Lytechinus pictus: one gene and its partner. The protein of the gene in region 2 interacts with the protein of the main gene of each other region in a biochemical or structural test. Links are inferred from orthologs where the notes say so. Each region holds a gene or a part of one and is shown on either strand. Other genes may lie near its edges.

Region 1 (8,029 bases), on a different chromosome or scaffold from region 2:
TGAGACTTGCAGGGTATTGTGTGTTTGGAGCTGGGCAGCTCGTACTTGTCTTCATCACTGTCCTCATCATCTAGAAATCTCAAATCATATCTACCCATGCAATTTGCAATTGCTCCATCGCTCTATAGCATGCAAAACATCAAGTTACAGAGAAGTAATCAAACGATTGGACCTAAGACATAACAGGATATGGATCAAGCCTATCAACGCATGTTGAGATCTATAGACGCTATCCTGATTCAATTACATCGTTCCTCCAAACTATTAAAAACTCATTTGCCAACCATCCTGTGTGCTTTACTTCACTGAATCATTTACCAGGAAATTCTAGCTCCTTGAAGCATGGCATCACTATGATATTGAACACTAATTATTCTATTCAGATCTTTGCTTGAGATTTCACCAAAAAACAAAATAGTTACCTTTCTTCTCTTCTCCTTGTTTTGTTAAATGATTCATTCTGCTCAGCCCACTCTTAAAGGCAGGCATGTAGGTCGTATTTAAACAAATTTGAATTTGATTCATGTTACGATACTGCTCATATGGGTGTAAAAATCACCCAGGAAGAAAAAAAAAATCAAATTTGAGCAGACTCTTTCAAGATATCTGTGACTGAAAAATCATAAATTTCACCAAACCTCCTCTTTGGAGATTAATAGTATGTTCGTGTATGGGATGAAATTAAGATGGTGTATTCAGTCAGTTATATATTTCACTTTTTTCCACTAAGATTTTTTTGGGGGCTTCATTTTTATAACATCACAGTCGACAGTCGGACCTTGTAGCTTGGATGTTGAAAGTCAAAATGTTAGGCTATAAGACTTTTGCCTTAAATTGCTCATTTTTGCAGAGGATAGCTGAATCAAAAGATGAAGAAAAATTGAGAAGAAAAATGTTCTCCTCTTTTACCAAACGTTGGTGCACTGTTTGATTTCAGGAAATAAAAAGAATATCTAAACTAATATTGGTCTCATATTCATTGCTTTAATTAGAGTTGTGGCTTTTTATCTCAACAATAATTAAGTAGCTATAAATTGGCATCCTTCAGTGCTATGATACAATCAAGTTGCACATGAATAGGATCTACACTGTACATGTAAATTGACTATACCCACATCTACTGGTGTACAGATGGTTGAGGGCTTGGGGCACTTGCCCTATCCCTTCAAAAGTTCTATGACTGAGAAAAAGAAATAAATGAAATAAAATAAAGGGAAACAAGGAAAAAAAAGGAAATGAAAGAGAAAATTGTCAACTATGAAATCCTTAACTGGAATTTATGTTACAATCTGTCACAAAATTAGATTCTCATTTTCAAAAGGTTAGAGTATTTAGAAATAGCCCCCATACGCCATATACTACCTCTTCAAAACTTGTCATTTGAAATACAAATTACTATTGATCTGAGTCACGCCAAATTACGTGTATCCCAATGTTTGCACTGGTAATCAAAACAAAGATGGCTTTTAGAAACAAAATAAACATGAGAGCAAGTTCAAAATTGTCTGATTATCTATTGATTAAATGAATTACAGCACAGTATTAAACAAAGCCATTGCCCTTTGGACCATGTGGCAGGTATGGTTTGTTGGGATGATCAATCGATCTGATGGTTTCTACCAAGCTTGATAGCTTCTGTCTTTAATATATGTATGCCACTATGCCTGTGCTAAATATTATCCAATAAAGCCTATTACTTCTACAATTACTTCTGCCACTCCAAACCCCTTACTGTCTTCCTCTTTCCCTGCTAGGCTTCTTCTTAATAATTTTTTATTTTTTCTACTCCCAATCCTCATACTCCTCCTAATCAGCCCCCACTGCCTTGTTCTTTCCCTTTATCTTCTACATTTCCTCCTCCTTCTTCTTCTCCTCCTCCTCCTTCATCTCCTTTCTGCTTAGACCTTCTCCTTCTTCTCCTCCTTTGTCTTCTTCCTCTTGCACTTCTTCTTCTCCTCTTCCTCCTTTGTCTTCTCCTCCTTCTTCACCCCCCAGCCTCTTCTACACACTGTTGCTACCACGGCACTACTTCTACTGCTACGTACTTCTTCCTATTATTATTATAATGACTATTTCTTATACCACTATGTCTGATCATCTACTACTCCTACCACCTTTATTACTACTACTAGGACTAATATTTACTACTAGTACTTCTACTAATACTTATACTACAACCATTACTATACCACCACCTTCATTACAAGCACTGGCATAATCAAGCAGCAAACCTATTCTTCAGGGCTGGGGGGGGGGGGGTGACACAATAGTTGACCCCCCCTTGAATAGTATGACATCATGTACATCATGTATTTACACATGTGACTACAAGTATCACCACCACCACTTCTTCTTCTACTACTCTTTTCTTCTTCCACTTTTTGACTTACTACTGCTACTACCACTACCACTACCTCTACTTAATCTACTTTATACAACTAGATAGGTTTCTACTACTACTTCTACTACTACTACTACTACTTCTACTACTATTAAACTAATATTACTACTGCGTCATACTTGTTCTCTTGAGTATATCCATCGTTGATGATCCTTGGATCTCCGCATTCACGTAGGGTGGATCGCACTTTGGTTCATCTTCCACGTCGTCCCCTTGATCGGGATCTAGATCTAAATAATAACCTTGCTCCATTTTCCGTCTTCAGCCATCCAGGTTCATGGCAGACAGGAAGACATGACAATATGATCCATCACAAAATCACTTCATTTATCTAACAGTTCCATTATTAGTCAGAACAAAACCAACCTCCATGCATCCTCGCTTCCGCTTGCAAAATATGTGATCCTCAAGAACTTGTGGAGATATTAAATGTTTTAAAAATTATCAAGCTTTGGAGAGCCTTTTAGAGGGTCTTTGCTCTTCAGTATAGACCATGGAGGACTTTGGATACAGAGGTATCAGTTCCTACAGTACATGTAGTTGAGATTATATCGCGCAATAAGTATCCAATCTTGGTTATTATAAAGTCAGGTGAATTGAAACTTGCAATGTTGGAAAAAAAATGTCAATCACTTGATCGAAATTAGCAAAACTGATGATGTCACATGACAACAGACAGTACTTTGTTCTCGATGCACTTGACATAAGTTGATGAGACATCTAAGTGATTTTGTTCTATAATAGTTCACTAGCTGATCTGTTTCTTCAATGTACACAAAACATGAGTTTTACAGGGAGTAGAAAGTTCCATCTACATGTAAGAGCAGAGATTGTTCTTACTCTTAGATACTAAAATCCAACAAAATTGTCCATCATAGTATTCAAAACCAGTCTAATTGCTCAGAAGAAGGATATCCATAAACGTGCTAACCTCTTCATACGGCAGTACACAGATCAACTGTGAACCTGAAGCAATTATCAAAACCAGCAAACACCCGGTTGTGACCCCTGATACGATGGAAGGTCCCGTGTCACCTTTTACGCCTCTTTCAGCTGCCACATGAAACTTCACATGTTCTAACAGCAATCAATCTCAGATCATCTCTGGTGCATGATGAACTGGGAGAAGATAAAATCCCCATACAAAGGAATTTCCACAGGTCGATTCCTCACAAAAAAATCAAATTTGAATACATCCCATTTGTAATATATATCAAACTATTCAACAGGTACTTTGCTTTACAGGCGATATACAGATATATCACCCTACTTCCATGTGGTCTCCATGAACTTGCACTCATCCATGTATAAACTACCGGGATACAATATTAATAGATAATACACCTCCAGGAACATTGAATAAAATAATCCAGCTGCATGCATGTATAATGGAAAAGGAATGCCAATTTATACACAGGAAGTACAGTTCAAAATTTCATCGTGATATCAAGGTCCAAGGTTTTATGAGACCTGTCCTAGTGGGAAAACCCCACCTACATACTGTATTTCAACAACCCAGCGATCATTTTCTTCCTCCTCACTGATATCTTTTGAATTAGATATTATTAAGGTCGTTAAAACTTTGATTAGACATACATTAGTCACAAATTCAGGATATGGTCAAGTGTTTTCCAATCAAGAATTACTCATTAATGATATGTGAATTGGAAGAAACTGAGATACAGGCATACAGAAGACCCCAACACTGAAAGTATAGCTCTGTGCATTGATCTTCATTAACACACTGACTTCACAATTCTGTGATTACCATATGCTTTGAACAGCAACCATCCGTTTCCAGGAGGCAATGACTTAAAAAGCAAAAGATGAAACTGTAAAATGAGACAAAAATCTCTCACATACAATTTGAGCTGCATAAAAACCACAAGTGCTTTAATTAGCATCATAGAAACTAAGTGAAATCTAATTCAATTTTTATCTTTTACTTGTACATACAACCTGTACATGTATGTAAAGTTAAAGGCCGATAATTTATGATCAAGTCTACATATACAGTACATGCAAAAATGATTTTTAAAACTTAAAGATAGTTATGTGTACAAACATGAACTATGGCTTCTATAATAGCCTGTTAAGATAAAAATCTCGAAACTCAAATAAAGCAATGTCAAATACAAATAAATTTAAGATTGATCAGAGCATTCATTTTCTTTGACAAGTTCTAGTTTGAACTGACTGATGCTCAAATTATTAGTTATTGTGTTTTTTTTTAAATAACTTTCCATCATGTATCATGTTTATAGTCAGTGTTCAATATTAAAGTTTTGGAAAAGCTATTTGGCTTACTTCATAATGAGTTTTGGGAAAAAATACAAAATCCCAGTCAGGGACGGATCCAGGATTTGCCAAAGGGGGGGGGGGGGGGGACACATTTCCAGAGGAAAATTTGACAAGCAAAAAAAAGCTTAGTATTTTTCAATAAATCTAAATTATTTTGGAATAGCTCATTCATTTGGTATCTACATGTAATTTGATTTAGAATATGGCTATGTATATTGTAGCATTTTTTACAGCTTTCCAATATGTTTCAGTAAATGAAGATGTATAATTTTTCTTTATACATATAGAAATTAGCATTACCATTTCAGTGTTTTAAATTGTGTATGTGAACGAATTATAAAAGATATAAAGAACTTTCACACCTTCCCAATCTGGAAAATACATTACAAGATCTTTGACGCCCCAAATTTTGCTTTAACAATATATTTCACAGATTCACACCCCAGACGTTTTCACAATTCATGGAACTACATCAAGGAATGTGTATTTGTGTGTAAGAAAGTGCATTCTTCCTATAAATATTCTGAGAATTAGACCTTAAAATTGTCACTGCTAACTTGGAGAAAATTTTCATTTTTTAAGAGGTACTGTATACATGTACTAATTTATCTATTATCTACAGGTACAAGTAGCGTTGTTCACTCTGACAAGATATCAGGTATTTTTCTTGTCATGGAGGTGTGAAATCACCTACATGTATGACTGAATGGAACCAAATTCCTTTGTGGGAATCTGATGGGTAAATTTTGCTAAAATTTGGCCCTATAGCTCAAATATTTAAAAAGGGCGGTGCCAGTTATCAAAATAACTAGGAGGGAGGCAGGGCATCATGGTCTAGTGGTTCTAACTCTTGTCTTTCAATGCAAGGTTTGTGGGTTCAAAATCAAATTCATGCCATGATGTGTTTTCTTTCAAAAAAGAAATTTACCCACATTATGCTGCATCCATGTGAGGTAAATGGGGACCTGGCAGGATTGATTCCTTGAATACACATGTGCTACAAACAGCAACTTGAGCTTATACTCCAGGGTAATGATAATAGTGCCCATCAAAAAGATTATTTCTAGATTGATAGCACTACATAAATGACTATTACTATTGTTATGATTATAATACATTTAAGAGTAAATAAAATAAAGACTTTTGACTGATATATCAAGAATTAATTTATTGCAATTCCTGTGTGTGAAATCTCTTCATGTATTTCATTCGCAATGGTTTGACTTTTGAATGTCTCCAAATAGGAAATAATTTGGGAAGAAGACTGCACTGCTTAGAATGTTGCATTATGGGTAAGAAACATGGCCAGTATCGAGTAGTAGGGGACTTGAGTCGGTGCTATACAAAGCTGCTGGTTTGTATTGCTTTAATCTTTGGGTATATGGGTTGAATTAGACATATTTTTCCTGTTGATCTGTAGCAAAAAGACTTTTATGAAAGGATCAGAAGATTAAAATTTGTTTTTGTTTATCTTATCAATTATTGTTCATATTAGGATTTTGCTCAATCAATCAATCAATCATGCTCATAATGACGTCAAAGAAGGCTTCTATAATACAACTTGGAACATGTGCTCAGAAGTTGATACATATTCACAAGGTCAATTTTTGCACTACTTTTTGCAAAAACCTAATATAGAATTCAGCAGAACTTGACTAAAATTGCAAGAATGAGCTCCTGGATGATAGCAAAATATTGCTTTGAATCTTGAATCATGATTCTTTCATTTGTGCATTTCAAAATTTCATGTGCCACCAATGATCATGGCTATGGGGTCGAACGCTTTTTCCTTAGACATTAAGATGGTAAATTGCCCATTCTTCTACTACCAACTCGTCCACTCACCACACGGTCTACTTTCATTTAGTCTCATGCCATTCCGTCCACCAACATTTTTCTAACAACCATTTGGTCCAATCACCACTTTGTCTAATCACCATTTCGTCCACGACCATTTTGTCTAATAACCAGTTGGTCTAATTTCATTTTCATTCATATTGCACAATCAACACTCTAGTCCAATTAGACCAAATGGTATATGGACTAAATGGCTATTGGACCAACTGGTTATTAGACGGATTGGCATTAGACTAAATGAAAGTAGACCATGTGGTGAGTGGACAAACTGATGGTAGACCAAATGATAGAAGACGAGTTGGCAATTGGACGAATTGGAAATAAACCTACAAGATTGCATGGACAGTGAGTGAGAATTGAAAAATTACATTAATATTTAACTGAATTAATAATTCTGAAGCACGGAAGAATCAGGTTCAACTGTAGTATCCAAGGGCCTTTTCACACGTGAATCTTGATTCATCATAGTAATGATGACTGCAGTTTGTCTTTAGAATCATTGGACCTTTCACACATACAATTTGTACCATAATTTGAGTGAAACTTAACTGGAATTCACAATTCACCAATTTGAATTCATGATTGTGATTAATAGCGTTCGTGATTTTAGTTTGGTTTTACACGTGCTAAAAATTCGTCATTAGCTTGATTTTTCACTGGAATCATCATTCAAATTACAATTTTTTTACCTCGTGAAAGGGACAGTAAATGAAGTTTGTAATCATTTTGAAAGAGAGGAACAATGTGATTAATGCATGGTTTTGAGTACACTGTGCTTAACTAATCACTCAAGAATATTAAACACAAATGAGTGATGTCATAGTAAGGGCACACTTTTATGTATATGTAAATATAATACACAGGAATTTGCTTGAAAACACTCTAAATTCAAATTAATGACATCTACTTACTGATGTTTTCAAGACCTTCCCTGGAGTGTAGACACGATTCTGATGTCGTTCTCTGGAGGGGTTGTAGGTGAAGGCTTGTTGGGAAGTTGATGCTGATCATCGACTCCCTACCCGTTTTCCAAGCCATAGTGTGGTCGCCTCTCTCTCTGATAAAACTCTTTCTGGTTTTAGAAACCTTATGCTCTTGTACAGGTGGCAATCACAATGTAGACCCTAGCCAGCCAATGCCAGTCTGCTACATCCCTGTAACCAATCAAACATTCTTGAATCTGATTAACTGCATTTTAAGGAAAAGGAAAGTAGTTGCAGTAAACAATTATTTCATGAGAAAGTTTTTTAAATCAAGGTTAACTGTCACTATATTATCATATATCTAGATCTGGTACATCAATCTAAACCTATCTTTGTGAAATCATGAAATCTTAGCTCAAAACTGACAATTCTGATGCTCATCAACACAGAAATAGCATGTGTGGGACAGTGTATTAATATTGCTTGGGAAAATACCAAACATTTGATGGAATTCCATACTTATTTTGCTCATTTCTCAGTAATTACG
Region 2 (8,942 bases):
CGCATTGCTCGCTCAGTATTTTTACTGCGCGTCATGTTGTGCCTCCTCAATTTTTTTTAGACACTATGCCAGATATATACAGAGAAGCCAACTTTCACAATGATTTTTCTGCAGAAAACTCAAAATCAAGAATAGATTCCCTTCAAGGGAACGGTAATCAAACAATAGCTGTTTCACGGTCCATAATCCAACATCATAGAAAATGCTAGTGTCAGAATATATGGATCATATCTTATTTGCTAAAATTATGTGTACTTCAGCTTGTATAATTCATATTCAATTTCTTTTTCTTTTCTCCTTCATCCATTTTCCCTCTTTCTTTTTGTTCCTCTTCTCCTTTCTCTCTTTGTTGTTCTTCTTCCTTCTCCTCTTCTCATTTCTCCCCTTCCCACCCCTGTTCACAGTGTATTCTTCTTTTGTTTTTCTTGACATGATATAAAAACAATGAATTTCAAATCAAAGCTTCAAAATTTGTGTTCTTTATATTATTATAATAGAATGCTAATCTATTATAGAGTTTTTAACATACGATATACAATTTACTTTTCAACTTATATTTCCTTGTGTAGTGTTATATTTTTGAACTTTGAAATTGGGAGTGTAAACTCCTCCCAATTTGACTATGCTGCGATGTTTTGTTTTTTTATCAATAAGCCCGGAGTGTGTGTATTTGAGTTTTGTCAGACGTGTATCAATCAGATATGATTATTTACGTCTGGGACCGACCTTTAATGTCACTGTCCGAAAGACGTGACCAGGGCATGAACCTCGAACCTCTGCATCAATTTGTAACTTCCCCACAGCTTGGATTACAGGCGCACGCCACAACGCCCAGTAAGCCCGGTAAGGGTTTTATAAAGCTGTTTATAAGTTACGGGCCACTTTGCAAATGACTAGTTATCCTTTCTTGTGGTAAATGAAATATACCAGATTTTCATTGGTCTTGATTTCGTTCCAACGATAGGGTCACCAGTCATTTGTAAAGTCGCTTTTAACTAAAAGGGGAATGAAACCTTTGGAACAAGTAAGCTTATGTCGAAACAGAAAATCAAAGAGTAAGAACAAAGAAAGTTTGAGAAAAATCGGACAAATAATGAGAAAGTTATGAGCATTTGAATATTGCAATCACTAATGCTATGGAGATCCTCCCATTGGCAATGCAACAAGGATGTGTGATGTCACATGTGAACAAATTTCCCTTTGATGGACTATGAAATACCCCCAAAATGATACAAACTCTTTATCCATGATGTATTCTTTAAAAATCTGTATTACATGCCCTCCTATAGAAAAAAAATTGATCTCCTGATAGATGTAATAAAAGATGCAGTTTAAGTGAAATATATACTAAAGTAATGAGGAGAGTTGTTCACAAGTGACATCACACATATTTGTCGCATTGCCAATGTGAGGATCTCCATAGTATTAGTGATCGCAATATTCAAATGCTCATAACTTTCTCATTATTTGTCCGATTTTCTCAAACTTTGATTGATCGTTTTCTTTTATTTTTCTGTTTTCACACAAGCTATCTTGTTCCAAAGGTTTCATTCTCCTTTAAGAATAGCTTTATGATTCTATAGATTCTATCTATGAAATATCAAAATTAATTTAGTTGACTCACTTGCTCCTTCAGTTCGTCCTCCCTGCCTCCTCCATACAACCTGCCTGGTCTCCATATTGACCTCAAAAGATTTACGCTCGGGTCTCTTGCGGCCATAAAAGCGGGTCAAGAGCGTACCAAGGGCCAGGTTGTGCTGCATGCTGTGTATGTCCTGTTCGGTTAGCTCCATGGTGCCGTTCTGTATCACCGCCATCTCCCAGCAGTCAACACCAATGACCCCTCAAGGATCCTCTGTCGTGCTCACCCGTCACAGCAGCAATGGCTGATTAAGATTCCCAAGCTCCACAAACAATCTACAAAGAACAAGAGAATGGAGAAGTTTTTTCTGAACCCTTTAGGACTATGTGCAAAATAATTAGACCAGTGTTTCACTAAGATTTAAAGTCACACTAGTCTTAAGTTACATTTAATGGACCTTTAAGCTTAATCAACATTATTTTTCCTAATGGAAAATCCACCAATTGAGTGGTATGCAGTTATGAGACTTTTCAGAATACCAAGTCTTGTAACTACTCAATTAAGCCTTTGCACAGTTGCAATGCATACTATTGAAATAAGTAAGGCAAGGGAGTGACTCTAACTTAACAAAAGCAAACTAATATTATTTAGAGACAGCTGAAATCCGTCTGTTTGGATTTTCTAATCTTTTTTTTCTTTTACTTTTTTACTTTCTCCCCCTACAGGCTACACAGGATAGCCATCATGCATGCAGTGTGAGGAACTAGTCCCCGTAGTCTATTGTTTTATTCCCTCCAACAAGGTTTTATAATTTTTCTTTATCTAACCTAAAATTTTGAATAGAAACTGTGCCAAGATGATGTCAATTGCCTTAATATAAATATCATGCTGGCCCAATTTATACATTAACTTTAAAGAAAATTTAAGCAGGGACTTACTTCACTTTAAATTATATGCTGTGGTCTTTTCATGCATAATATCTCAAGAATTCTCTTTTGGAGACCAAGCAGATTCAGGTATTTTTCAGGGTAAGCAATTTGTTTAGATTCTAATTAATATTATGTGAACTGTGACTTGTGTGAGAATTTTTTTCGTATTATTCACGGCTGATTTCAAAACATCGCATGCGATCGCGATCGGTTGCAGGTCAAACCGATCTCGATCGCATGCAATGTTTTGAAATCAGCCGTGAATAATACGTGTGAGGAAAAAGATACTGGCCCAAAAATCACCAATTTTGAGGATAATCGGAGGATGGACACGGAGTGAAATATGGATGAAGAGTAAGATATTAAGTTGTTTATCTTTCTCGTTATATTATTTTTCTTTAATTTTTACAATAAACATGATTTCCATCCCACCTTTGTGACTCAGAATGTCCGATCGAGTTCACTGTCTCGAAGTTCGGGTAGGTGGAGTGTAGTGTAGCGGTAGTGAAGTGGAGTGGAGCCTGCACGAACTTCGCTCGAGGTAACTTATTCACAAATCATGAAACACACACGTTCACTTCATCAATTAATCACATCGGATTATTTTACTTTTCTTGCGCTGGATTTGTAAATACTGCAGTTTCTTTAATATCAGAAACGATAAAAAATACAAAATGCCTTACCATATAACTTACTGTTGGCCTGAAACATTAGAATAATCAAGTTCAACACTATTTCCTAAAGTTGTATGACGGTGATACTGCAGAGTCTCACTTAGTCCTATTCGTATACAATTGTGTGGCGCTGGCCCAGCCTGTACTGTGTACTGTCTGGCCGTATATATTGTTTATCAAGTCTTACTTCCGTCTTACTCTTGGTTGAACTAAAGAGGGAGCTCAATGCGGTCAGTTCTACGAGTTTGTTGATCTGAGATTTCGGATGATAGAGGGGAGGGGGTATGGCCCTGGGAAGCGGGGGTGCACCCCCAAGATTTTCCCCAAGGGATGCTGCATGTATTATTTTCATTAGGCAGCACCCCCTGGAATTCTGGTAGGTGTGTAAAATTGGACAAATGTATGTAAAATGACCAACATTTTGTGTTGAAACCCTTTTGATTGTTTTTTGCTTGTCAAATGTTTTGGTACCAAAACGACCTTCAATTTAAAGTGAACCCCCTTTTTTTGTTTCTTTTCAAATTTACTTCAGCACCCCACCCCCAAAAAAAGTTGCCAGGGCCCTGGGAGGGGAAAGGAAAAGGGATTGAGGAACAAGAAAAGGAGAAAAGATGAAGAGGAATATGAAAAGGAAGAAGAAGAAACCAGAATAAGGAAAAGGCAGGACATTTCCTTGAAGAAAGTTTTATAGCAAGGTTTAGTAGGCGACCAGGCAAATAATTATGTCGGCTATTTACCACTTACCAATAAATTGCACACCGGGATTGCACAATATATTTTTGCTTACCGCATTAAATACTGTTATTGTGATAAAACAATTAACTATCACTTTGCGTCATTTTCATTTACCTAGTTTGATATCATGTGATGTTTGTCTGTCACTAAAAGAAAGTTTTATATATCTTTTGACAAACTTCGATTGTGATTACTCCCATCCATCCACCTCCTTGCCCTTTCATAACCTTCATGGGGCCGATTGGGCCCCCCCCCCCCCCCGAAAAAAGGGGGAAGGGAAAGGAGGGGAGAAAAGTAAGGAGAAAGGCGAAAGAAGGGAGGGAGAGAAGGGAATGAAAAAGAATGGGGGGAGAGGAATGAGAGAAAGAAAAAAATGGAAAGGGGCCTCACCCCCCCCCCCCGAAAAAAAAAAGGAGAGAAGGGTAAGAAGAAGTGGATGAGAATTTGGGAAAGGAAAGGAGGAAGTGAAAGTGAAGATGGGGAAAAAGAGGCCGTGCCGAAAAGACCTTGCAGCATTAAAGAAATAACGAAGATAGAAAAGGAAAAACACAAAACAAACAATTGAGTACAGGAACGTAACTAAAAGTAATTTTTTTACTGAAAAAATGTGAATCTAGGACTTTTAAAGCCCTAGCGGCCTCTTTTACAAAATTAAATAGATTGACGAGGGAAATAGAGAGCTGTAGGTGGACCCGGGGGCTGAAGCAACCACTGCCCCATACTGGCAGCGAAAACAAAGGGAGAAAAGGAAAAGAAGAAGACCAAGGGTGGAGGAACGAAAAGTAAGGGAAGGATAATGAAAAGAAGAGGAATAAAGGATAAAAAGGGGGTATGAGAGGGCAAGATTTGGCAAATAGCAAACCTTGACACCATTAAAAAAAAAACGATCGCGCTTCGGACTGCTTCTTCTTCTTCTTTTTTGTCTCCTTTACCCTTTTACCTCCGTTTTGGCCCAGTTGAGGGGAAGATATGCAGTGCGCATTTTGTCCACAGGCCTCCCCCTTTAATTTTTTCCCTTTTCATTCTTTGTCCTTTTTTGAATGCGGTTTGAGAGTGAAGGATAGTGTCGATCCCGGCCTCATTTTCTCCCTCTCTATTCATTCGTCTTTTTTCCACCCCTTCTCCTTCCTTTCCTTCTAATTCTCTACTTATATGTTATAACAGGAGGCAATGGCTTCCATTCTCTCATTTTGCGAGAAAAAAGTTTCAACTGTTCTACTTTCCTATCACACTTACCGTTCGGCACATTTTTGATTTTTTTTTTTAAATTTCTTTATTTCGTTTTCTCTTTCTCCCTCTTACTATCTTTCTTGTTTAGGAACAAGGCCATTCTGACCCCAGATTTTAATCCTCCCTCCCCATTCGCCTCTTTTTTTTTTTAATTGGGTAAAGGGGTTGCAGGGCCGTTCGCTACAGCCCTTCCCCTCATCAATAATTTATCTCTCCCTCTTTCCTGTTATCTCTTTCACTTTCCCCACTCTCTGTTTTACTGTGGGAGGGGGGGGGGTAAAGGGACTCACCCCTCCCCCTTGATACTTAAGGCATTGATGTGTCTTGGCTGATTCTTGACACCAGGGTTTCTGTATTATTTTGTGTGTATATTTGGTTTATATTCACTTAATCTAATACCATTTTGGTCAAACCTACTTTCTACTATCAATATTGTTCTATACAATCCTTGGCCTAACAGTTATTTGCCACTTAGTCAAATGAAAAAAAGTTCATGAAAAGTTCATCTATAAACACTAGATGGGGCTAGGCCAAGTGGAAATTAGTTAATGTGACCGTTAGTGAAGCAAAGAATTTCTAATAAAAAACATGGGCCAGATTTCAAAAAAATATATAAAAAACAAAAATTTTATGATCAAATTACTTTTAGCCGATTAAATAGCAAGGTTTAGGTAACCAACAACAGTAGCTTGTATCTTGCACTCAATAAGAAGCTTCACTGGCTCCAGATTTTTCATCTAACCTTTTTTAACTTAATTAATCAACTTTTACTAAAAACTACTGGTTTTTTTTTCTTCTTCTTCTACATTACCAAATACTGGGATTAATTTTTCAAGTATTCCTGGGATGCTAAATAGGCAACAACAAAGACATTCACATCTTGTACATATGAGATCATCTCAACATATTAACATATTTAATTTAATCTGAGTGAATACATACAGTAGTCGTGTTTACATAGAGAAGTAGCTGTACAGGAAACGTATGGCAACTAAGTTTCACAAGGTAAATTTCCTTTAAAGTAAGGAGAACGATGGATGGAGTATCATACATCAAGAAAAAAAAAACAGACAAGAAATTTTTTTTTTTAAAGCAATGGGCCCTAGATGAAGATTACATGAGATAAACCTTGTCTGTGGACTCAATATCCTTAATTCTGGGGGGGGGGAAATCATTTTCAAAAGAAAAAAAAAGTAAATAAAAATTCAAAAATTAAGTTGTTTGTACCACATACAAAACATAATCCAAATAAACTGATATATTTATGCTTATTTGTAAAAAAAATCACTATTTAAACATACAAATGAATAAATATAAACAAATAAATGAATAAATATATAAATAAATATAAATAAACAAATAAGGAGTTAATTAAATAAATACAAAAACACATAATAAAATAGATAAATGAACATTTAATCAAAGGTGTTCTCTAAGTATGCATGTGCAATTTGCATACATTGTCTACTTTACTTAGTAGACAGAAGTTTATTTCTCATCCATGGTTTAATTAAAGGGATGGTCCGGGCTGAAAGTATTTATAGCTTAATAAATAGAGTAGAATTCACTGAGCAAAATGCCAAAAATTTCATCAAAATCGGATAACAAATAACAAAGTAATTGAATTTTAAAGTTTAGCAATATTTGGGGAAAACAGTCATCATGAATATTCATTAGGTGGGCTGATGATGTCACATCTCCACTTGTTCTTTTGTATTTTATTATATGAAATGAGGTTTATTCAATTTTTTTCCTCCAAGAAGTAGACAAATTGGAATGACAACTGATTTAGTGCATTAGATATTTATTGATGCAACTTATTTCATTATAAGGGAGACATATTATTCACACAAGTATGAAATAATGAAAAAATTATGATTTTATGTAATAACATAAGAAAACGGAAAGTGGAGATGTGACATCATCAGCCCACCTAATGAATATTCATGACGACTGTTTTCACAAAATATTGCAAAACTTTAAACTTCAATAACTTTATTATTTGTTATCCGATTTTGATGAAATTTTCGGCATTTTGCTCGGTGAATTCTACTCTATGTATTAAGATATAAATATTTTCAGCCCGGACCATCCCTTTAAGGGGGAACAAACTGACCCAACAATGTCTGTGGTCTCTCATTGTCTGTGTGTTATAAACAGCTAATCTTAAAATATTCATTTTTATTTATTTTGTTGATAATATTAATAAAGATCATAAATTGGCCTTTAAATCTTATTTCTGTAGAGAAACTTAGAAAGTTTTTTTGAGAGGAAAGGTAACGCACTTAATCGCTTCTTGGCAACTTGATTATTGTGGTATACATGTATTGAGTATCATATTGGTGTGGTAGCATTCAAGTGGACCTATTTTACAAGACTTCACTGTTATGTTGCATTATGGGTCAGGAACCAGGCCAGATTTGAGTAGTTGAGAACTTGAGGTGGTGCTATACAAGGCTGCTGGTTCGTATTTGGTTTGAAACATTAATATGGAGAAAGTTCTGGTTGAATTAACAAGTATACATACAGTGGTGCGAAAAAGTTAGTGAACCCAACCAGAAAATGAACATATTTCAAGTGTTCAAGTTCTGCCATGTTTTATATATTTAATGGTGAAGTTAGGTGATAAAATATTACATTCAATAAAGTTTGTTTCTCTGTGCTCGCCGAACATTGTGGTGTTGCTGTCTCCATTTAACACTCAGCATGAAGGAGTGCATTTTCTGGTGGGTTCACTAACTTTATAGCACCACTGTAAATTCAAATTTCGAGCAGGTTTCCAGAAAATGCCGAATGGATTTTACTACAATTATATTCAGGCTTACGTGTATGCATTTGGTATCAGCAGGGCATGTCACTTAAGCAAGATATCATCAATGTGATAATGTATCATTTGGCATACAAAACTGTGAATTTAGGTGAAACCAAATGTTTATGATAATCTTAATTTTTTAGTTTATAATAAATGTCTTTCTAGTACAGCACATACTATATCATGTTACCATCTAAATGTATCAATTGTGGTAGGGTCCATGGTGAAACACACCCCAAGGTCCTATTACATAAAGACTCGTTATAATAATCTGGGGGGGGGGGGTGCTTCACAAAGATTTAATTATGACTTAGGTCGCACTTAAATGCTGACGCGTACATGATATGCAACGCGCAATCTCATTGATCAATACGCAGTAGTGCGCGTCCTCTTGCCATGATCTGATCAATACTGTCATGTCTTTTATACTACGCACAACTAGACATTGAAGTGCGACCCTAAGTCATACTTAAATCTTGTGAAACACCCCCCTGGTTATTTAAAATGCTCTAAGATATATGGCACATTGAACATATCTAAGCACTTATAGATTTATTATTCATCATATTCAATCATTTTCCGCACACCATGTATTATGCACATCCTCCACTCCCTGTGGAGTATTCCAGCCAGTCGCCCATGAGGCACACACAATGCTGGACAAGATACAATGACATTCACATCCTACTGGGTACCTATTTAACACCTGGGTAGAGAGTGGCAAAGTGTGGATTCACACCTTGCCACAGGGTACTACATGTATGCCGCAGTGGGATTCAAACACACGACCCTCTTAAATTAATTACGAGGGGAGAGTCACGGCCACTACACCATAGCTCTTCACAAATAACAAATGCACAAGTACTGTAACAAGTTTACTATTAGCCGATAAAATTTAGTGATTTCATTGCGTTTTAACTGTTACGGCGAATTTATTATTATAACAAGTGTTATGAAACATGTCCTAGGTTGGAAACCTT

The links.
Region 1: the proteins of 1-phosphatidylinositol 4,5-bisphosphate phosphodiesterase gamma-1-like (region 2) and SH3 domain-binding protein 2-like form a complex in vitro, tested with the Homo sapiens proteins (2 studies listed by BioGRID, with this or other methods). The link is inferred for Lytechinus pictus from reciprocal best matches to the Homo sapiens genes PLCG1 and SH3BP2.

Annotation. Positions count from the first base shown.
Region 1 is NC_087256.1:8,751,703-8,759,731, forward strand, and holds the start of SH3 domain-binding protein 2-like, read right to left. Parts: upstream 3,826-8,029; 5' UTR 2,654-3,825; coding exon 2,521-2,653; intron 1-2,520. UniProt on the Homo sapiens protein: Binds differentially to the SH3 domains of certain proteins of signal transduction pathways. Binds to phosphatidylinositols; linking the hemopoietic tyrosine kinase fes to the cytoplasmic membrane in a phosphorylation dependent mechanism.
Region 2 is NC_087246.1:61,770,012-61,778,953, forward strand, and holds the start of 1-phosphatidylinositol 4,5-bisphosphate phosphodiesterase gamma-1-like, read right to left. Parts: upstream 3,397-8,942; 5' UTR 3,207-3,396; exon of another isoform or gene 3,195-3,206; intron 1,918-3,194; 5' UTR 1,818-1,917; coding exon 1,625-1,817; intron 1-1,624. UniProt on the Homo sapiens protein: Mediates the production of the second messenger molecules diacylglycerol (DAG) and inositol 1,4,5-trisphosphate (IP3). Plays an important role in the regulation of intracellular signaling cascades.